Linked DNA regions of Oreochromis niloticus. The protein of the gene in region 1 interacts with the protein of each later gene in a biochemical or structural test. Links are inferred from orthologs where the notes say so. Each region holds a gene or a part of one and is shown in the gene's direction. Other genes may lie near its edges.

The links. The genes of interacting proteins can lie anywhere in the genome.
Region 2: the proteins of erbb2 (region 1) and tensin-3 form a complex in vitro, tested with the Homo sapiens proteins (2 studies listed by BioGRID and IntAct, with this or other methods). The link is inferred for Oreochromis niloticus from reciprocal best matches to the Homo sapiens genes ERBB2 and TNS3.
Region 3: the proteins of erbb2 (region 1) and fer form a complex in vitro, tested with the Homo sapiens proteins (2 studies listed by BioGRID and IntAct, with this or other methods). The link is inferred for Oreochromis niloticus from reciprocal best matches to the Homo sapiens genes ERBB2 and FER.

Annotation. Positions count from the first base shown.
Region 1 is NC_031973.2:16,306,656-16,314,659, reverse strand, and holds the start of erbb2 (receptor tyrosine-protein kinase erbB-2), read left to right. Parts: upstream 1-5,002; 5' UTR 5,003-5,457; coding exon 5,458-5,593; intron 5,594-5,599; exon of another isoform or gene 5,600-5,819; intron 5,820-5,974; exon of another isoform or gene 5,975-6,036; intron 6,037-7,108; exon of another isoform or gene 7,109-7,505; intron 7,506-8,004. UniProt on the Homo sapiens protein: Protein tyrosine kinase that is part of several cell surface receptor complexes, but that apparently needs a coreceptor for ligand binding. Essential component of a neuregulin-receptor complex, although neuregulins do not interact with it alone.
Region 2 is NC_031982.2:17,521,596-17,529,277, forward strand, and holds the start of tensin-3, read left to right. Parts: upstream 1-4,673; 5' UTR 4,674-5,143; intron 5,144-7,682. Other genes in the region: dspa (desmoplakin-A), read left to right, coding at 208-3,429. UniProt on the Homo sapiens protein: May act as a protein phosphatase and/or a lipid phosphatase. Involved in the dissociation of the integrin-tensin-actin complex. EGF activates TNS4 and down-regulates TNS3 which results in capping the tail of ITGB1.
Region 3 is NC_031972.2:38,198,060-38,205,119, forward strand, and holds the start of fer (tyrosine-protein kinase Fer), read left to right. Parts: upstream 1-4,051; 5' UTR 4,052-4,172; intron 4,173-4,289; exon of another isoform or gene 4,290-4,379; intron 4,380-4,538; exon of another isoform or gene 4,539-4,807; intron 4,808-5,609; 5' UTR 5,610-5,669; coding exon 5,670-5,738; intron 5,739-6,461; coding exon 6,462-6,593; intron 6,594-6,712; coding exon 6,713-6,886; intron 6,887-7,060. UniProt on the Homo sapiens protein: Tyrosine-protein kinase that acts downstream of cell surface receptors for growth factors and plays a role in the regulation of the actin cytoskeleton, microtubule assembly, lamellipodia formation, cell adhesion, cell migration and chemotaxis.

The DNA of each region.
Region 1 (8,004 bases):
CCTTTTATAGTTCAGAAAAGATGTGATGTAAAGTCTCTGGAAAGCATATGATGTTATATTTTACAGTAAAAAGATGTTTATGGGAACTCTAAAGTAGCAGTTTTAATGGCAAACAAACCTAAAGATTTTTAATACAGCACAGTCATTTTTTTACAGTAAGAGCTTGATTTTGTAAGTTACATTTGGAATAATAATTTTTTTAAATGGTGGCAAATCCAGCTGTCAGACACACATTCCTAGTATACACTCTTTTCCCTTAATTCTTCATGGCATCGACTGAAAAAGGTGCTTGAAACATTCTTTAGAGATTTTGGTTCATATTGACATGACAGCATCGCACAGTTGCTGCAGATTTGCCACATCAATGATGAGCCTCTCACATTCATCCACATCCAAAACGTCTATTGGATTGGAATCTGGTGATTGTAGAGGCCATTTGAGAACAGTGAACTCATTGTGATGTTCCAGAGACCAGTTTGAGATGACTGAACTTTGACACCTTAGGCATGTTATCCTGCTGGAAGCAGCCACCAGAAGATCACACACTGTGGTCATAAAGGGATGGATATGGTTAGAAACAACACGCAGGTAAGCTGAATTAGTCAGGAGGAGCCCAAATATATCTCTAACACCAACAGCAGCCTGAACTGTTGATACATGACATGGTGAATTCATGGTTTCATGTTGTTTGCACCACATTCTGACCCTACCATCTGATTGTCACAGTAGAAATGTAGACTCATCAGATCCAGCAGCTCTTTTTCAAGCCTCTGTTGTTCAGGTTTGGTTTGCTTGACTTCCTGTTCTTAGCTGACAGGAATGGCACCCGGTGTGGTCTTCTGCTGCTGTAGACAATGTGCTTCCAGAGATCCTGTAAACAGAGGTTATTTTAGTTACTGTTGCCTTCCTATCAGCTCAAGGGAGTCTGGTTGTTCCCCTCTGACCTCTGATATGAACTGCAGCTCACTGGTTATGTTCTCGTTTTTAAACCATTCTACAGATCGTTGTTTGGGAAACTCCCAGCAGATCAGTAGTTTCTGACATATTCAGACCATGCCATGTTGAAACTCACCGAAATCATCTTTCTTCCCCATTCTCATGTTCAGTTTTCAGGTTGTTTTGACCATGTCTACATGCCTAAATGCACTGAGTTGTTTATCCACTTCACAGGCCTGTGAGTGTCTCTTACAAAGCACTGATGTATTTCCATTTCCTCCCACGTATACTTATAAAAGTTTAAGTAATCCTTAATTTTTCTTGCATTTAGGTGGATGATTTGAAGGAGTGTTGCTACACTAAACCTGTGTTAAAATGCATGAAATGTTCACAGCTAGAGGTATCAACAGAGCAGGACAAGTGAGTAGAGAAGTGACATGTTTGTCCCTCCCCTGTTACACTGCAGTCTAAAGGGCTTGCTGACCTTGTACTATTTGTGCCAGTGATATATGCACAGATACCTTCATTGTGTCTCCGATATAATCAAGACAAATTCCTTTAGACTTGTATTTGGATTTATGAGCAGCAGTGGGAAACAATATGGTTTTCTTGTCCTTGAAGAGTCCCGCACTGTATTTCTTATTTCTTCTCTCATGCCAAATCTAAAAACTTGGCCAGTCAGGGGAACTGAACTATGAGTGAATTTATGATGTTCTTTGGTAATGACTTCTTTTCTGTATATTTTCACTGTGCTTCACTGCAGTTGTCCTTGGACTCTCTCACTTGAACACATTATCTCTCACCCACTTCCTGGCCTCCTCACCTTTTAACCCACACAGACCTTTTTTTTTTTTTTTTTTACACACGTTTTATGTGTTCCTGAGAATTACAGCCATTTTTTCTGAAGCAATTTCCACCATCAAGTGTGATGAAAATTGCTGACTACTGGATCAGGTTTTATTGTAGCACAGCTTGCTAAAACGAGGAGTTGCATACAGAGCCAACAAACACTTAAAGTTTAAGACTTAAAGTTCACTGCTGGGAAAATCTTCCAACCAGAATACTAAACTGACTGCATCCCTCAGGAGCAGATGACTTTTTTTTCTGTGGGAACTAAATATTTCAGCCTCACTAGCACCACTCAGCTTCGCGAACGGTCCGCAACTTGTGGTCTGTGTGGCTCAGTGTGTAGCTTATTGTTGTTTTCTGATAGCTCTGTGCAGGAGGCTGGACTCTGACCCGGGCTTCTGTGGGTGGGGAGAGACGATAGATTGGGATGAATAGAGTTTATTCTTCCTCCTTCGACTCCTGATTTGTGACCGTGAATGAAGAGCATGAGAAAAGCGGGAGAAATATGAAGACACTCCAATCTTGTATCACGCAAAGAATTCACTTTTTTTTTTTTATAAATTCAACAGTCCCCTGATCTAAAATGTTGATTTGATTCATTCCTTAAATATTAATAAAGTTTTAATAGTCAAACATACTGATATACAAAGCAAGACTTACATCTAAAAATTTGCCAGTTTGCAAAAATAAACACATCGATATCAGTCAGTGTGATTCATAATGAAATAATGCAGCTAAGAGTGTAATCGTTGCCTCGATACATTTCAGATAATTTTTTTCATGTAACCAGTTTTCACATTTAATAATTCAAACAGGGAGTTTTACAACTTCTACAAAACAAAATGAAACTCTAATTAAACATGTTTGAATTTGTTAATTACGCGTTTTGACACAGTTATTGTAAAATGTGTCATTCTTTTAAACAGACATTTAATACTACACGTCAAATTGGTGAAATATTGTGTTAGTGGGATAATTGTTATGTAATTGTTCTAAATAAACTCTTGATGTAGGTCTTTTCTTATATGATAATGCACATTTTATGTAATTTTTGAAAAAACAGGCAATTTAACTTGAACATTTTTCAAATATCCTGATGTCCCCTTTTAATCTGAAATGTATTCACATTGTAAGGTTTCATGGATGTTTGGGGATCAGTATTACATCATGGATGTGGTGTAAGAAAGTGACTTTATTTAAGTGCTCATCACAGAAAAATAGAAAAAGGGGACGTACAAGAGAAAAGATTAAAGTACATTTAAAAAAGTAAGTGTCAGAACAGCCAATAAGAAGACACAAAAACCACATGTGTCTATGGCTCCATGACAACTGTATAATGCCCAGCAGTGAATGAGAGCATGGACCTGTAGGAATGTATACAGTACAATGTACCATTTTAAAATGAGTTACATTATATACACTGAATTTTACCATTTGCCATACAGAAAATTAATCAGGACAATGTTTTTTTTTTTAACTGTGTAACTTAGTACTTTACTCAGATAAAGGTCTAATTCACTTATATGTAAATGTTAAATATTATACTTTATACACAATACTGTTCATTTTAAATCTTAAGTTACTTACTGTCATGTAGATAATTTGCATTATTATAGATCTGCCGTGGTCCTGGGTTTTGGACCCAGCATTTTAAGTTTTTAAGTTAAAGTTTATGTTTTCAGTTCAGGGGTTTCTTTATTTTTCTTGTAATTATAGTATAGTCTGGTGTTAGTCATTGTTTCTTTGAGATCTAGTCTCTTTTATTTATTTATTTTTTATATCTCATCCCTTGTGCCTTAGTTTATTTTCACCGGTGTTCATTCGTGTTAATTTACTGTGTAAATGTGTGTCTAATCTGTAATTGTTATTTCCTTAGTTTCATTCTCCAGATTCTGTTTACTTGTGCCTAGATTTCTCCCAGTAGTGTTCACTTCCCTTGATTAGCACCCAGCGTGTGAGTTTTTATAGTCCTGTGTTTCCTTTGTTCATTGTTAAATTGTCTGTTTGTTATCCTCTTGTGTTTCCAGCCTATTTCCAGTCGGATTTTGTTTCTCCTGTTAGACCTCTGTTATTTAAATTCTCCTTGTGGACTTCTTGAATGTGTTTTGGACTTTTCTTCACCTTTAATAGAGGTAATTTTCTGTTTTACATCTGCCTGCCTCAGAGTCCTGCATCCATCCAGAACCTGCTTATCATAACAAGCTGCCCAGAAATATATAAGTAATTAAAATCATCCTGAGGTGCAACAGTGTTATTTACATCAATGAGTAAGTAATTATGAAAACACCCTTCTACATAATCTGCATGTTTACTGGAGGTGCTTTAAATGTGTGATGGTTATACAGCCGTTGCGTTACTAAGTTACTTAACAATTATTACTACTTTTACATAATCAAATTATTTTTTTTAACTTTCCAAAATAATCGACCAACACAAAATTATGTTTAAACTCTTGTAAAGCACCACTTTTCATGTTATACAGTCATAGTATGGGTCAGGGACTGAAAATCACAGCCAGGCTTTTCAAAGTCAATGCTCTATACAAAAAATATTTATCCCCAAAATTCTAACTTTAAGTAATTTGATTACATGTAAATGTACAGTGTGAAACATTTAATGCAATCTGGTGAATGAAATGTATTTGATTGTTATGTGGTCAGCTTACACCAAGCATATTTCCCTTAATGGTTAATTATTTGAATAAATAAACCTTTGAGTTTACACATTTCAAGTGCATTTTATTCAAACTTAACCCTTCATATTTGAGGGTCAAGAATACTTTTTGAGAGCCCAGATTTTGCTTCTCATAAACACAGGGTGTATCTAAAGAAATCATCAGATTGCAAAAGGTTAGGTATTTTTTTAAAGCAATGGACACAGAAGTTTGTGGTAATTTTTTTTTAAATACATTGCTGAAAATAAAGTTTAAAATAACAAAACTTACAACTTGTTCACAAGTGTTTAGTGTGTCCTCTTCTGGATGCACGGCACATGTCCATACGAAAGGCAAACTCGTCCCATACTTTTGCGGGCATGTCTGGAGTCACTGCTGTTGTTTTGCTACCCACAGACAACCGTGCAAAACTCACAAATCTGCTTTTTCGACCGTTTCCAGTGAAGGGCTGTGGAATTAAAGCACTTTGAAATCAGATGATTTTTTTTGTTCTTTTTTGGATACACCCTGTATGCTGACCCCCACCCCACCCCTCTGTGGCACCCTACTGTAAAAAATCCCGGAAACGCCCCTGCATATAGCCAATTTGACTTTTCCCCTTTACTTCCAAGCGATAGAAGGCATACTGAAATTTTTAAAAAGATGGTAGCATATTCACAGATTATGCATGAACAGGGTAAATGCTTTAATTGTTCTCCATATTTAACACTTTGATCCACTTGAGCCCTCTGAGGAGAAATAAGCGCAATTAAAGTTTGAAGGTAATTTTTAGACATAATTAGAATGAAACGTGTTATAGGGTTAAGTAAGTCAGACCGGAGTGAGGGCGGGTTGACTGAACCTGCCACTCCCCGTTCAGGCCTTCACGCCACGGGAGCGCGCCTCCGCTCCTGTTACGCGCTTACTACCAACAGGCAGGGAATTCATGGGAGGAAGTAACTGAGATTCGGACACGAACAACAACTCCACACGGTGCCAGAAACGACAGTTAGCTCTAAATGAGATGCAAAAACTTCATCTCTGTTCCCCCCAGATGGACTAGAAGCGCCGGGTCTGCGCAGATGGAGGCGGCGAGAAGTTTGCTGTTTGTCGGGGCCGTGCTGCTCGGAGTGACGGGCGCTTCAGGCAGAGAAGGTGGGTAACTTTCAGCGCTTTTCCCCTGTCTCTAATACCTCCGCCGTCGGCAAAATAGAACCACGGAGCGTCGGGGAGATGGCACAGGAGTGTGCTGGCTGTAATTTCAGGAAATGCTGGAGGTTTTTTTCTGGTCCGGAGGACTACATTCCTCCGTGACTCCTCAGCCGGGTCCTCTCAGCCCTCCTGGGATTTATGAAGGGCTGATTATGAGGAAAAATCACACCTGTCACAAAACAGCCTCGCTTTAGATTTACAGTTTGGACCAAAATAATTTTTAAAAAGATTTAAAAAATAAATAAACACAAATCTCCAATCTTGCAACACTTTGACTTGCTCAAATAAACACAGAGCAGAGACTCAGGTAAGAAATATGAGAACCTGCTTTGCAGCTTTGCGACACAACTGACTTGTGCACTGCAGGCGGACGGTTCGTGGCTTTGCTGTAAACACAAACAAAAACAAGACACTAAACAGGCAGTGCATTGTGGGCCAAGGATCATGACGATGTCAATTATTCACTCCTGGCTCTAAAAGGGGGACATTGTGCGATAGAGGGGCCACTTGTCACACTTGGAGCTTGAGTACGTGCCAGTAAAACAAGAGCTAACTGGAAGGTGCAAAAGAGCTGCAAATCATATTTTTGCTTGTTTTTCATTTTATTATAGGTTTTGGGGGGATAATAATAATTTATAATAATAAATAATATAATTTAATGCTTGATCTGGTGGTCAGTCAGTACTTGGACTTGAGATATTTAATTTGTTAACTGAGAAAATGATTGGTTGTGCAGATTAATGGGTGCATATGGACCTGTATAGATCTATTTTAGGTGTATTTGGGGAGATCAATAATCCCCGGCCAGCTGCTTTTAAAAGCAGTTTTATTGGCACATGCTAATAGAAAAATGAATCTGAACTCAATAACAATTTATTCTACAGTGCTCACTTTATTGACATACAGCTGTTGGCTTTCATTGATGTGCACAAAATAAAGAAAGAGCCCCCTTTGGGGTTTTTCATTCAAGTCCCCCTCACAACTAAAATGACTAATGTAAGTACAAACAACTGTCTGTTTTATTAGCTGCTCTCTCCCTCTCTCTCTCTCTCACACACACACACACACACACACAAACAAAGCCTATAGTCACAGGTGAAGTGATTTTCAACTATGACTGCATTGTTGGTGGGAACTGGTTGGTGCACTTTACTCAATCTGTGAAGCATCAGTTCAGGACGAGCGCTCCGACTGGCTCCAGAGTGAATCTCAGCAGTCTTACTTTCAGTTATGAAGTATTATTAAAGTGTTATATCACACACACACTCTTTCACCTCCCCGTCCCCGTGTGTGTGTCTGTGTTCAGTGGCCTTTGTATCCATAGAGTTCGTGCCCTCGTCACACTCTAGTGAAGCTCACTGTGCACTGATTAAGTCTTACTGAAGTGGCCTCAGTGATAGGCTAACTCAGCCTGCTGTGACTCACCAGTCTAGACTGCATGTTACTGATCTAACTCACCCGGAGATGAGAGCGGGACCACCAGAGAGGCATCGCTGCTGTCCTCCGAGGAGACTTTCAGCCTCTTCTTCCGTATGTCTTCTCTTCACCCGGCTTTAAGAGTATAGTGGGAAAATCCTCGGAGGAAATAAAGTGTTAGACAAATAAAGTGTCATCAGTGTGACACTCAGAAATACTGCTGACATCTTCTAAACTCTCAGTATTTAAACGATTGCCTCAGCTACCTGTTTGTGTTAGCAGAATGAAATCATGGGGAAATAATTAAAAGAAACCCTGTTATTTTCACTATTTATTAACTTCCCTGTAATTCATAATAGGTCTGTAACAGTGATACTCAACTTGCGGCTCACAGGCCAAATCAGGCTCGGCGTAGGGTGCTGGCCAGCTCTCTATAAAACTAAAGAGGTTGCAGTTATTTTTAATGTAGTGTAAACTTTCAAAGCATCCATAACTAAAATGCAGTAGCATCTCATGAGCGCGGTGAAATTATTATGCATCATAAGGGCCAAAAAGCCCTTCCAACAAGGCCATTCATTTGGAAATAAATGATTTAAAAGAAAGGAGTTTGCTCTTTTTACTGCCCATTCATTCAGTCTGATAACTATTATAAATATATTAAAAATTCTTCTTATTAAACAACCTTTTGTTTGATGTGGTGTTTGTAAAAACTCCCTCCAGGTAAAACATGTAACGTATCCCATGTCTGCACGACGTTGCAAGTAAGGAGCTACGGGTAAAAATGCTGTTTCAAACCCTCGATTCCAAACTTAGAAACAAAGAATCGTGTTGTATTTTCAGTACAATATAAACAAAAACCATAACATATTTTCCAGGGTTATTTAATTAATTAAATATAATTTCTGTCCCTCATAAAATAAGGAGTTGATGAGAGAGAT
Region 2 (7,682 bases), on another chromosome or scaffold:
CATTTCATTTACCCATTCACTTATGGCACTTATGAACTTCATACCATTAAACAGTTTAACACTAACATGCTGGTATGCACACGTATGTACTTTAGTTCAGACAGGTCTAACAAATGAAGGACATGTAATTTAATTTAAATTGTTTGTATTCTATATGTGGGAAAATGTCTTGTATACATGACAACATACTTTCTTATCTCTTCACAGACATCGCTTGTGGTGCAAGAATCCCAAAGCAAATACAGTGATCTGCTGCTGGAGAAGGATAGTTTGCTGTCCAGGATTAAACTGTTGGAGCAGGACAAGAATCGTCAGTTGCGGTTAGAAGAAGAGCTCAATCGCATCAAAGTCACACTAGAGTCCGAGCGTCGAAACAAACAGCAGCTGCAGGAGGAGAAAAATTCAATTTTCAAGGAGCTAAGCACTATAAAGAGCCAGTATGAGATGAAAAGTTCTCAGATTAGGCAGTGCGAGTCAGACAGAGATAGGGCCGATCGAGAGAGGCTTTCCCTCAAGAGCGAGATCGAGAGGCTTACGAGGGAGCTAACGAGTATTGAAGAAAGGTACAAGAGCCGTCTGTTGAGCTCAGAGAAGGAGGCAAAAGAGCTGGCTCTCAAGAAGGAGTCCCTGGAAAGAGAAATACGCAGACTGCAGCAGAGGCCCAACACTCTGAATAGGCAGACCCAGACAGATGAGAAGGTCCAAACCATTGATCCGTCAAAGCTTCTGTTTGACGGGGTGCGCCGCAAAGTTACAGCCCATCAGCTTTGCGACTGTGGTATCATTAGTAAAGCTACTCTAGATGAGCTCCTAAAGGGAAGAAGGACAGTGAGCGAGGTAGCTGCAGACATCCAGGTTAACCTTAAGGGCAGTGGCATCATTGCTGGTATGACATCTACTTCTCAACGGAAAATCCCATTCACTGAAGCCAAAAACAAGAATATGCTCAGCCCAGAGAGTGCCCTTAAGCTTCTGGAAGCTCAGGCAGCAACGGGCTACATAGTGGATCCTGCATTTAATGAGAAGATGCCTGTGGATACCGCCTGTTCAAGAGGGATTGTAGACACAGAAGACAGAGATGTCTTGTTGAAAGCTGAAGCTGCTAGCACAGGTTTCAAAGATCCATACTCTGGCAAAGTGTTATCTGTGGGTCAGGCTTGCAGACAAGGCCACATAGACAAAGAGACAACCATCCGCTTGCTCCAGGCTCAAGAGTCTGTTGGGGGTATACTGGATCCTGTTTTGGGTGTCTTCCTACCAAAAGATCTGGCCTTGGACCGCAATCTTATTGACGAGGACCTCTACAGGGCTCTGACTAAAAAACCAACCTGCTATCTGGATCCAACAACTGGACAGAAGACAACTTACAATGACCTTCGGATGAAGTGTACAGTGGAACCTGTTTCTGGCTTGCTTCTGATCTCTGGTCCAGAAAAACCCTTGACAGTGAAAGGTCTCCGTGGTGAAGTCTCTGTCTCGGAACTCGTCAAATCTGAACTTCTGGATGAAACTGACTTGCAGAAGCTCAGTCAGGGCAAACTCACTAGCAGAGATATTGAAGACAAGCTAAAGACCTATCTCCATGGCTCTACCTGTATTGCCGGGATCTATGATGAAGCCAATGACAGAATACTACCTTTTTATCAGGCAATGAAGGAGGGTCTGCTTATGAGAGGCACCACGTTGGAGCTTCTTGAGGCCCAGGCTGCTTCTGGCTTCATAGTTGATCCAGTCAACAATGTTTTCTTGACAGTGGAAGACGCCAGCAAGAGGGGTCTGATTGGGAAGGAGTTTAAGGGCAAGCTGTTGTCTGCAGAGAAGGCAGTAATAGGATACAGAGACCCAAACACAGGAAAAACTATATCCCTCTTCCAAGCTATTGAGAAAGATCTTATTGAGAAGGGTCATGGAATCCGACTGCTCGAGGCTCAGATTGCCAGTGGTGGGATTATTGACCCCAAAGAGAGCCATCGTATTGATGTTGCTGTTGCCTATAAAAGAGGATACTTTGATGAGGAGATGAATGAAATCTTATCTTATGAAGGGGATGACACAAAAGGATTCTTTGATCCTAATACCAAGGAGAACCTGACATATCTTCAGCTGAAGGAAAGGTGCATCAAAGATGAAAAAACAGGTCTAATACTGCTGCCACTAAGAGACAAGAGAAAGCCCCAGAAGACGCAGGAAAGCCGCACAAATATCCTACGCAAGAGGCGGGTTGTAATCGTCGATCCAGACACTGGGCTTGAAATGTCAGTGAGGGAGGCCTACCACCGTGAGCTGATTGACTACGATACTTTCCTGGACTTGTCAGAGCAGGAGTGTGAGTGGGAGGAAATAACTATAACAGGGTCAGATGGCTCTGCACGCTTGGTTATAGTAGATAGAAAAACTGGACTCCAACATGATATTCAGGACTGCCTAGAGCGTGGTGTCATTAACCAGAGCACTTTGGATAAGTATCGTGCTGGAACAATGACCTTGACCCAATTTGCTGACGAAATTGCCAGCAGAAGCAGCAGCCTTGAAATGACCATTGCAGCCAGCAATGTTGATGACATGATCACCTGCAGCAGCCCCACCCACACAACACCATCTTCTCCTACTGTCCGTAAACGCTTCAACAGTATATCTATTACAGTCTCTCCCCCTGAGATGTTTGATGACCACAGCCCCGTGGGGGCTATATTTGACACAGAGACCTTGGAGAAAATAACTGTTAGTGAAGCGCTTAGAAGAGGCATAGTTGACACTCTTACAGCACAGAGGTTGCTGGAGGCCCAGGCATGCACAGGTGGTATCATCAACCCTGCTACTGGTGAGAGACTGTCACTGCAAGATGCTGTCCATCAGAGCATCATTGATGAAAGCATGGCCAGTAAACTGAAACCTGCCCAGAAAGCTTATGTTGGCTTTGAGGATGTGAAGACTAAAAGAAGGATGTCTGCGGCAGAGGCAGTCAAGGAGACATGGCTGCCTTATGAGGCTGGCCAGAGATTTTTGGAGTTTCAGTACCTGACAGGGGGCCTGATTGAACCTGGCACTGGACGTCGCGTCAGTATTGAAGAGGCTATCCGCAGAAAATGGCTAGATGGTCAGGGGGCCCAGAAGCTTCAAGACACTCGGAACCACCAGAAGAACCTGACCTGTCCCAAGACTAAACTGAAAATATCCTACAAAGAAGCCATGGACAGCTGCATGGTGGAGGAAAGCAATGGCATGAAGATGCTGCAAGCCTCGTCTGTGTCTACCAAGGGAATCAGCAGCCCTTACAATGTCTCTAACCCAGGATCTCGCTCTGGCTCAAGGGCTGGGTCTCGTACCGGCTCGAGGAGTGGATCTCGTAGAGGCAGTGTGGATTACACCTCTACTATGACCTTTACATCCGCCAGCAGTACAGTTTATAGTTCTAGCACACACTTTTAATTCATTCCACAGAATGATAATAATTAATCACATAAGAGTAGCATGTCCTCTGCAATTTGCTTGTTTGCTTTTTTTTTTATAACCATTTGCTTTTCAAAAAAAAAAGAAAAGTATTGTACTTAAAAGATTGGGGAGGTGTTTTGTTTTTGTTTGGGGTTTTTTTTTTTTTTTTAGACTTTTTTTGTTTGCAGGTTGTAATGATTGAAAGTTTCAATATTAGATGCTGAGTGCTATTTACACCTTTATCATAATAGATTTTTAGTAGATATAACCTTATTTCAGTTAATTTTACTACATGATGACTTTTTATAACAATATATAATAAATGCCTGTTGATTTTGTCTTTAACATGACCTCTGAATAAATGTCGCTTTTGTTGTGTTGTCATGACAGGTTAATTCATGCATTATTGAGAGAACATTTTTGTTGTTGTTAATTGCAAATCCTGAGGCTTAGCTTACAATATATGTTATACATTGCAATACAACATATTTTACATTGTAACTGTAGAAAATTGTTGCTACTAAAATGCTGTTACCCGCTATCAAAATAAAGTTGTCACAGAATTTTACATGCCTTTTTGTTCTGGTTCATTTAAATTAGCTGTTGCATGTATGAGAAGAAGTTAGCTAGACAGCATTGTTTCTAACGATGACTGATTGTAATGCTAAAGTTGATCTTGGATCCCTGTTTAAATGCAACTCACTATTTTACCCTTGATCTTACACAGATTGAGAGTGAAGTTTTACTCTTTAGTTGTTTGATGGTAGCTTTAAATATCTGTTAAAAAACTTCATAAATAAATAAAAGCAGTGCATGAGATATCATGAAAGACCCAAGATTTACCTTCTGAAGGAGGCTGATTTGGACCGCTGGAGATCTTTATAATATGTGTGAGTAATTTTAACTCGGTCTATGTTAATGTAATAAAGTGACTAGTCTAAAAAAAAAACTAAAAAAAAACCTGACGGTTTGAATATTTGTAGTACACCCATGAACTACTGAGGAAATAAAATGTACATTTATGAAACATTAAAAAGTTGTAGCCTAATTTAAACTTACTTATATATTAAAGATTTTAAACGGTAGGTTATAATTTCTTACAATTATATATTTCATTATGTCATGAATATGTATTTACTTGTACAGCAGCCATATGAAAGGTGATTATGTGGGTGGGGGTTGGCAGGAAATTAAAGTCTGTGTATGAGTAGTGAGGGTGAGAACAAACAAATGGAAGGGGGCAGAGGGAGGAGGCCAAAGCGAGGGGAGGTAGGTTGAAAGGGGAGGGAAGAAGGCAGACACCCACGGCGGAGCGGTAGGAGGACTATCCCATGCCAGGACTTGTGGCGGCTGCAGCGGTAGCCTGGACTAGAGGGAGTGTTTTGGAGGCATAGGAGAAATAGCAGCAGCAGCGTTTCCCTTTTTTTTCAGGATACGAGCAAGATTTTATTTTATTTCCAGCAGTGACAGAAAGGAGCGAAAAGAGCCCCTGGGTCCAAGCAAACTCCGAATAGGCAGAGAGCGCATTCCAGCAGAGGAAAATGAGCCTCCCAGCCCGCAGTAAGCCTGTTTGACGGCTGAGGGCTCTTTGAGACTCCGGACTTTATCATATTCCTTTTCTTTCTACAGCTTAAACTTACATAAAAAAGGAGGAAAAGAAGAATCCCCCCTCCCCCCCAAAAAAACAAGTCGTCGCTTTCACTTTAAAAAGGTAAGGCATGTTGTCCGAAACAGTTCGCCAGAAGAAGACAGGAGTTTTAACTCTGGCTGGTCAGTGCTTTAAAAAGCGGGATGAGACTTCCACTCTGTGGAGAACTTTTCAACAGTCACACTGCAGTGAGGTCGTCCAGAGAGTAAAACAGGGCAATTCTTTGTATTTACTTTGGTTAGAAACAGGGTGTGCGTGCGTGCGTGTGTGCGCGCGCTCTGGTATAAAAATTCTGAAAACAGGGAAGCGAGTCATTCATTCTCATCTGATTTTTTTAATGTCTTTATTTTTACATCATGTTTTTAAATAGAACCATTTAAATGCCTTTAACTGAAACTTCATAAAGTCAGGGTTAGTAGTCTTTTTAGCTTTTAAACGTTTCCCCCAGTGAATTGTATTCTGCAGTAGCTATAATTTGGGGTTCCTTGCTGTTGTGGGCTATGGTCTACTGAAGACCTTTTATAATGTGAAACATATGGGACTGTTCTTGTGGAGGACTTGCGTCCAGTAGTCCAAAAAGCTTCAAAGAGATAGGGCCTACCTTTCTGTTTGGGGTGTTGTACTCGTGGACAAATATTCGAGAGACACGACTGATTAAGAAAGTTTGTCTTTTTTCTTTCTGTCTGTCTTTTGAGTTTCAGCTGCTGCATGGTATGTGCAGCCTTAAGGCTATGATTCTTAGGCAGCCATTGTTGATGACATGCACAAGTGTCCTTATATGATAGCAGCTACAGCTCCTCTTCACCTGAATATTGCTTTCCTCCTTTCCCTCCAGTGAAGAGTCTACGTCTTCCTGCATTTACACTCTCTTGCAGCTAGCTTGTGAGTTGTTGTGAGCATTTTGCAAGCTGAACTCTTCCAAGATTTGGTTTAATTTAGAGTTGCATGACTAATATCTACCCCTCCAGGCGAAAAGAAATGAGTCAGAAACACAGAGTTATTATCATTATTATTATTATTTTTCATGACTGGTAACAGGAGGCACTTAAAAAGGGCTGGCAGAGCAACACATGAATGGGGATCCCGATAGTGTAGTTTGGACAGGTGGGTTGGCAGAGGGTTGGGACTGTGTACTGTAAGCAGAACACTGTGATCCCAGCATGAGACAGAGCAGTGGGGCATTTCATTTTGTCACAGCACCACTCTCTGTACATGTGCAACTCATTAAACATATAGGAGACCTGGAGAACGAAGGAGAATGAAAGCAATAAAGTGGCAAAAATTGTTTTAAAGAAAAAGAGAGGGTGGCGGGGATAGAAAAAGGGAGAGTGCTAACGTAATCCATTCTGGATCACATTCCACGCTGACCCTGGGATTGAAAATGGTAATTAGGGACTGCTTTAGGAGCCTTCTGGGTGCACAGATTTGCTCAGAGCCAGGGCTGTCATTTTTATTTCCTTCAAAATGCCTCGTGAAAATGTGAGACAAATACATGCTAGAGTTCCAGAGTTACAAAATAAACGTACTAAAAATACTCTGCATCCACGTCTGTGGCTTTTTTCAATAGTTCTCAGGGCTTGTTTATTTCAGTCCTTCAGCAGTGAATGGGTGTCAAAGCCACAGCATAAACATACAGAGCCCCTGACAGGAAAAGGCCTGAACAAACTGTGGCCTTGTCCTTCTCTGGGCTCTTAAAAGCCTGTCATGTCTCTGTGAGCATGTTATTCCACAGCATGGTGCCACACTCACGCCAAGTATGAATACATGGCGGTTTTCGAATGGTGAAGCTGATGGTATCAGAGTTATTAGAAGGCTGTTAGATGTAATCGCTTAATATTATCAGGGGACTCCAGCCACACGACAGAGGGAGAAAAAAACAAATGGGTTCTGCTTGCTGGAGAGTGCATGAAAAAGTCTTTTGTACGGGACAAAGAAAGAATTAAAGCTAAATGCAGTGTAGGAAAACATTTTTGTCCGGCAGCAGCCTGCAGGCAGCCAGACTTCCTGAAGCATTTTATGGCACTTTAGGTGTTACTCAGGTTTGCAGACAACAGCTTCGAAGGCTGTTAATCTTTCCAAATTCTCCCAAAGAGACAGCAGTGTTATGCATGTGTACCTGCTTTTTCCATAGGTATTTAATAGAGGACTTCTACGTGCTGGGAAGTTTTGAGGTTTATCACCTCAACGTTGGCTGAGGCTGCGCTCACTCTGTATCAGATAAAGCAAGCTTGATCATTTTTTTCGTTTCAGTCCCATCATTTCAGTTTAATTGACCTGTGAAAATATTCAAGCTGTCTCAGAAATGGAGGCTGTTGCCGCAGCATGTCAATCACAGGACTGAAGTTTGAGCCAACAGAACCAATTTGGGAGTGTGAATGGGGGAAGGGATCCCCTGATTGCTTTCATATGTGCTCTTTTTTTTGTTTCGCTCCGTCTCATCTTGTTTCTTAGTGATTTGCAAGCTATCCTCTTGACTATGCATTGGGGAATTTAGTTAGGTAATATCGATTTGTTTTGGATTCTAATAATGGCTTGTAATACAAATTTGTCATGTTTTCAATAGGCTTTTACAAGCAAGATAGTAAATCCAAAATTAAAATAA
Region 3 (7,060 bases), on another chromosome or scaffold:
ATAAAATTTTAACCATTAGAGAAAAAATTACTCATAATCATCTAACAGATGTAACTTTATCTACAGGTATTTTCAGTACCATTGATATTCATTTGGAGTCTTTTTCCACAATTGATCTTTCTGAGGTAACTTCAGTAATTACTTCCTCCAAACCATCAACGTGTCTTTTAGACCCCATTCCTACAAAACTGCTCAAAGAAATTCTACCATTAATTAATGCTTCAAGCGTAAATATGATCAACCTATCTCTAATGATCGGCTATGTACCACAGGCCTTCAACTTAGCAGTAGTTAAACTATTATTTAAAAAGCTATTAGTTGATCTCCAACCTTACTTTTATCTTAAAAGTTTTTGAAAGAGTAGTTGTCAAACAGCTAACAGATCATCTGCAGAGGAATGATTTATTTGAAGAGTTTCAGTCAGGTTTCAGAGCTCATCACAGCACAGAAACAGCTTTAGTGAAGGTTACAAATGATCTTCTTATGGCCTCTAACAGTGGACTCATCTCTGTGCTTGTCCTGCTAGACCTCAGTGCAGCGTTCGATACTGTTGACCATAATATCCTATTAGAGCGATTAGAACATGCTTTAGGTATTACAGGTACTGCACTGCAGTTGTTTGTATCATATCTATCTAATAGACTCCAATTTGTTCATGTAAATGGAGAGTCCTCTTCACACACTAAGGTTAATTATGGAGTTCCACAGGGTTCAGTGCTAGGACCAATTCTGTTTACATTATACACGCTGCCCTTAGGCAGTATTATTAGAAGGAATAGCATACATTTTCACTGCTATGCAGATGACACCCAACTTTATCTATCCATGAAGCCAGATAACACAAACAATTAGTTAAACTGAAGGAATGTCATAAAGACATAAAGACTTGGACGGCCGCTAACTTTCTGCTTCTAAATTCGGGTAAAACTGAGGTTAATGTACTCTGGCCTGACAATCTTACAAATATGGTATCTAACCATATACTTACTCTTCATTGCATTATCTTGGCCTCCAGTGACACTGTGAGAAATCTTGGAGTCTTCTTCCATTTGCACTATATCTCTAAAATTAGATCCTCAGCATCACATCCTGTCTCATAGTGATGTTGAAAAAGTAGTTTATGTATTTATGACTGTATTGTAATTTGTTATTATCAGGATGTCCTAAAAACTCTCTGAAAAGCTCAGTTGATCCAAAATACTGCAGCACGATTACTGACAGAGAGAGACTGATAAGAAAGAGGGAGCATGTTTCTTCTATATTGGCTTATCTTGATTGGCTCCCTGTTAAATCCAGAATTTAAAATCCGGCTGCTCGTCACATACATGTCTTAGCTTAATGACCTTATAATACTGTATCACCCCATGAAAGCTAGAGTATTAAGAAGTAGAATGGGAGGGAGAGCCTTGAGCTTTCAAGGCCCCTCTTCCATGTAACCAGTGTCCAGTTTGGATTCAGGAGACAGACACTATGCCTATTTTTAATATTCGGCTTAAAACTTTCCTTTTGATAAAGCATATAGTTAGGGCTAGATCAGGTGACCCTTAATCCTCCCTTAGTTATGCTGCAATAGGTGTAGGCTGCTGGGGGACTGCACTGAGTGAGTTTCTTCTTCACTCACATGTTTGTACACCTCTCTGCATTTAAATATTAATTATTAATCTCTAGCTCTTTTCCATAGCATGTCCTTCTCCTGTCTTTATCTGCTCACACCATAGCTGGACTGGCCATCGGGCATACCGGGCATTTGCCTGGTGGGCTGATGACTTATTTATTTATTTATTTATTCATGTTGTAACAGCATGAACAATGAGAGGTGGTGGATGCGCCAGATGCTGGCCGATGTGTAAAAATAACTCAGTTGTTTGGTGGTGGCTATGGCAGAGATTCCACAGAGGCCAGCAGGTGGATGAGGGAAAGGGGAGGCAGGAGGAGGAGAGACCCGAGGCGGTCCGAGTGTCAGGTGAACTGAACTTCAGGTAAGAAGTTATGACCTGCAGTCTGTCTGGGTCAGATATAAACCAAGTTTAGGTGGAGTTTATTTTTGTTGTGCTGACTTTTTACTGTCAGTTACAATAACTCGTACTGCGTACTAGCTAGCATGACGGAGTTTGTATACAGCTGGGCGGGTGCTATGATGTTACTGATAGTGAACTTAATTTTATTCATAAGTTTAGTTAGTAGAGTTGCCAACGGCTCCTTAAAAAATGGAATGGTCCCTCATTCAGAGAAAATATTACGCGTTTCGTATTAAGCTGAGAAGAGACGCAGTTTGTCCCGTACTTTAGCTAGAATGAAACAAAGACACAAAGCTGGAGTTATTCTGTGTGTTTACGCTGCACAGCTGCCTCCTCTTCTCTCATTCTCTCCCCTCCCTCTCCTGTTCCTACTTCAATCATGAAACTGATCAGTGATCAGCTGATCGGCTTTTCTCTCTTGTTTATTTATCGCCCACTTTGCGCCAGAAAGAAGAAACCAGCAGATGTCGCGTTAAACAACAGCAGCACGTTTAAGCTTGATCAGCTGTTGTTAGAATTTATTTAATAGTAATTTCTAGTATCAGCTGATGTTTGCTGGAGCCACAGCTGTAAAAACTGCTGGTCATGATATCGGTTTGGATATGTGGTGAGAGGGAAAGATGAAGATGAAACCAGGAGATGTCCTTACTGAATCATCAGAGCTGAACAGGTGATGGAGAAACAGGTTCACCTTTTAGGTGACATGGATGAGTTGAAGGGAAGTTATGAACTGTTTCTGAGAGACAAATAACACCAGGATCCTTTTTTATGTAGCTGACAGCTGGTAACTGTGCAGGGGCGGGTCTAGGAAAGTTTTGCCAGGGGGCCAGGTAGGGCATTAACAGGGAAAAGGGGGCACAAAGACATACTTTTCTTTCTTATTCTCATTTAAAATATCTAGCTTTTATTAAATAATTATCTGAATCTTGCGAACAAAGTTTTTATCTGACATAAAATGTACAGAAATCATACATATACCAACAAGACAGTGTACATCACTGTCACAACAGCGTTTGTTTTCATTCAAAGGCTTTATGGCTTTAATACCTGGTGGGCCGGTCTCTAGTCAAAATGCCCGGGCCGATTTTTTGTCCCAGTCCAGCCCTGGCGCACACCCATCCAGTGTGGCAGATGGCTGCCCCTCCCTGAGCCTGGTTCTGCTGAAGGTTTCTTCCTGTTAAATGGAAATTTTTCCTTCCTACTGTTGCCAAAGCTTTTGCTCACAGGTGGTCATATGATTTTTGGGGTTTTCTCTGTTTACAATGTATTATTGTAGGGTTTTTACCTTATAATATAAAGTGCCTTGAGACAACTGTTGTTGTGATTTGGTGCTATTTAAAAAAAATGAGCGTAACTCTGAGACAGGGTGTTTCTAATTTTAGAGGTATTGCAGAAATGGAGGAAAGCAGTCCTACATATGCTTTTAAACTGGCATTGAAAAGCAACTGGTTAAAAACATCATAAAAACATCTAGTTAGATACAATATTTCTAAGATTTTTAGGGCTGGGTATAATAATCCCAGTTTTATCTGAATTTAAAAGCACAAGGTTAGAGGTCATCCAGGTCTTTATATCTTTAAGACTCTCCTGCATTTTAACTAATTGGTGTGTGTTATCTGGCTTCATGAATAGATACAGCTGGGTGTCATCTGCATAGCAGGGAAAAGGTATGTTATGCCTTCTAATGATACTCCCTAAGGGAGATACTCCCCAAGGGATTATAATGTAAACAGAATTGGTTATAGCACTGGGCCCTGTATAACTTTATAATTAACCTTAGTGTGTGAAGAGGACTCTCCATTTGCATGAGAAATATATCAGAAAATAAAAACATGTACTCAATAATTCACAGATAAAAGCTCTCTCATGTCACATTAGTCATATTTTCAGGTGCGTTCTTCATAGAGCTCTATTACCTGCGCTCTGGTAACACCTCTGATTGGAGGAGGAGGTGCTTTGATATGAGCATGCATGAGTCTGAAGCAGAAAGTTTACGTGTATTTCTGTGCGCTGGAGATTACCTTAATGTGAGCGCTTTGATGATGTCAGAGAGAAAAAATTTTTCATAACAAGGATGTGGGGAGTGACCATTGACTACAGTCAATGGGAGTGACGAAGGGCTAATACCTGCTACAGTGAGAGGTAACAGTACAGGTAAGGCTCCCTGCTGCTCTGGATATTTCCGATAGACTGGTTTAGTAAGTACTATCATAACAAGCTGAATGGGTTTTATTGCTTGAGTTTAGTTTGGCGGGTCACCAAGATGCTTACCTGGCTCAGGTACAGGTGTGCATATTCTCAGGTTTATTTTTATAGTTTCCACCACAGGGTGCAGCGGTAAGAAATGATGCCCAGGTGTGTCTAATCCAGGTGTGTGAAATCGGAGTGTTTGATCCAGATGTTCTGTCTGTGTCCAGACAGCTCCAACGTATGTCCCATGCATGTTCCACGTTCACGTCTTCAGCCACACAATAAGACCCCCTCCTCCCCCCTTTCTTCCGTTTCCCACGGAAGCCCCTCCCTGTTAGCCGTTAGCTCGGTAGCCGGACAGCAGCTGGAGAAGCCGGGAAACGGAGCAGAGAATCCAGAAGAACTGGAGGACATGATACCGGCCGAGGAGTACAGAGGACCGCGGTGACCGGACAGCGAGCCTCCTGCCGCATTAACTCACTTCCTGGTGCGTTAAAGCGGCAGAAAGCGTCCGAGGAGCGCAGGAAAAACTGGGAACCCCCTGCGAGTATCCCGGCGCTCCTCCGCCGCTCCATCGGAGCTTCGTACCCGGAGAAAAGGTTCGGAGAAGCGGACACGGAGTCTCTGAGTGTGACTTCTCCGTTCGGCTTCAGTTTTAAAGACTTCTGAACAAAGTTTAACAGCAGCTGTTAGTATGTTAGCAAGTCAGTTTTCCTGCAATTCCAAAGGAAGCTGCCGTTATCTTTTTAGCACGCTAGCCTCGTTTCCCTTTAATTTATATGGGAGCAGCGGCTAGCGTTAGCATAGTTTGACACTTAAAGTGCCATAAACCGTTTTAACAACTTTTTAAAAAAAAAGTTTTTAAAGATCTTAAAGTGTTTTAAAACCATATTTAAACCGTTTCATGTGTTTTAAGGTTTTGTGACGTGATTAGATAGTTTGAAGGAAGTCTGAAAAGTTTTGAAGCGTCCTGGAAGGAAGTAGTGAAGATGTTGGAAATATGTTTGGAACGTGTTTTGGAAATTCTTGGAAGATTTTGGAGTTAGCTTTGACAGATTGAAGCTAATGTTTATAGTTTAAATCAGTTTAAAGCCGCAGGAAGAAGTGAGTGTTTCACACCTGATGGTTTCATTTCTGTTAACGGACAGTTGGAGTTTTTCTGTGCTGGAGGTGAAATCACCCTCTTCTGGTTTCTGATGGTTTCAAAGGTTTTTAGAGGGTTGTTAGAGAGTTATAAAATGGTTTATGAGGTTTCAGGCTGTGGCTTTAGCAGAGTAAATATTTCCTGCTCAGTTTGTTCAGAGGTTTAGAGGTGACTGTGGGAGATGTCGAGGTTTGAAGAGTTTGTTTCAGATCATCTATTTGTTATGAACCTGCACGTATTTCTCTCTCTCTCCATAGACGGCCATGCTATCAGTGTCCGCTAATCCACGCTGTTAAACACAAAGACTGAGATCCAGGATGGGGTTCGGTCGGGATCTAAGGAATTCCCACGAGGGATTATTGAAGCTGCAGGACTGGGAGTTAAAGGTCTGATTTAGCCTCAAATACTCACAGAGCTCAACATGTTTCCACCTGCGGAGATCACTATCAGAGGGGTGTAGTTCACAGTCTGACCTGTGGGGGGGCCCTGGTTATACAGACTGTAATTAAAGATGGATACAGTTCCTCTCATGTCCAGCAGGGGCAGCAGTGAGTCAGTCCCCACAGACTTCCATGTTAAAACCTTGCAGCAGAAATAAACATGTTTACAGCCTGATGCACATTATTTGGGGTCTCTATAGATAATTTACTGGTTTAAACACCTGTATGAGTGTGAATGTTTATATAACACCTTTTTAAAGTTTGTATATTAAAGTTTGTTGGAGCCTTTTGGAACATTTTTAATTATGTTAATTAATATGGCTGCTGTGAGCTTACTGTACTAACAGGCCTGAGAAAGGTGATCTTCAGTTTTGTGAGTGAAATTTGAAGATTTTGATTTGATATCACACAGCGCTGAGTAAGTATTAAGCATTAGGTAAATCTGCCCTCTCGGACAAATATGGTCACTTCCTTAATCAAAGAAATAACATGGCTTCATCCAAAATGCTAACGTTGAGACTCAAAAAATCAGTGTGTCACAGTGGCCATGTCCATCTTTTATCTACATTCTGTGTCAAACATCTGTCTTTTGTGTTATTGTGTTATTCTGCGCTTCCTCCTCTTCACTTTCACTTCCTGTCTGGTTCACTCTTGCTACCTGCCTTCTAGCTGCTGGAGACGGTGAAGCGCTTCATGACGCTGCGGGTGAAAAGTGATAAAGAGTACGCAGCTCTGCTGCTCAGCATGACACAGCAGATGGAGAAACAAGAAACTGCTGACTATGTCAGCACTGTGAGTAAGGTGAGCGGCTCAGCTGTCGGTTCAGTGGGAGGGGCAGAGCATGTGAACCAGTCTAAGAGTGTATGTGTGTGTGTGTGTGTGTGTGTGTGTGTGTGTGTGTGTGTGTGTGTGTGTCCCAGTCGTGGTCGCAGGTGATTCGTCAGACAGAGGCGTTGGGTCGGATAATGAGAAGTCACGCCGACGATCTGAACTCGGGGCCGCTGCACCGTCTCGCCACGCTGATCCGGGACAAGCAGCAGGTGAAGAAGAGCTACCAAAGTCTTCATCAGCAGCTGGAGAGCCACATCCACAAGGTGTGCAGGGGGGGGCATCAGACTGAGGCAGAGCCTCAGCTAAAAGTTAGTTTCCTGTTGGTGCATAATATAAGCACGCCAGGGCTTTTACAAGCATGATGGACTGAGTGAGGTCACCTGAGGACGTCTCTTAGTTTTTATCAGTTTTAAAATAATTTCAGTTAGTTAAAAAAC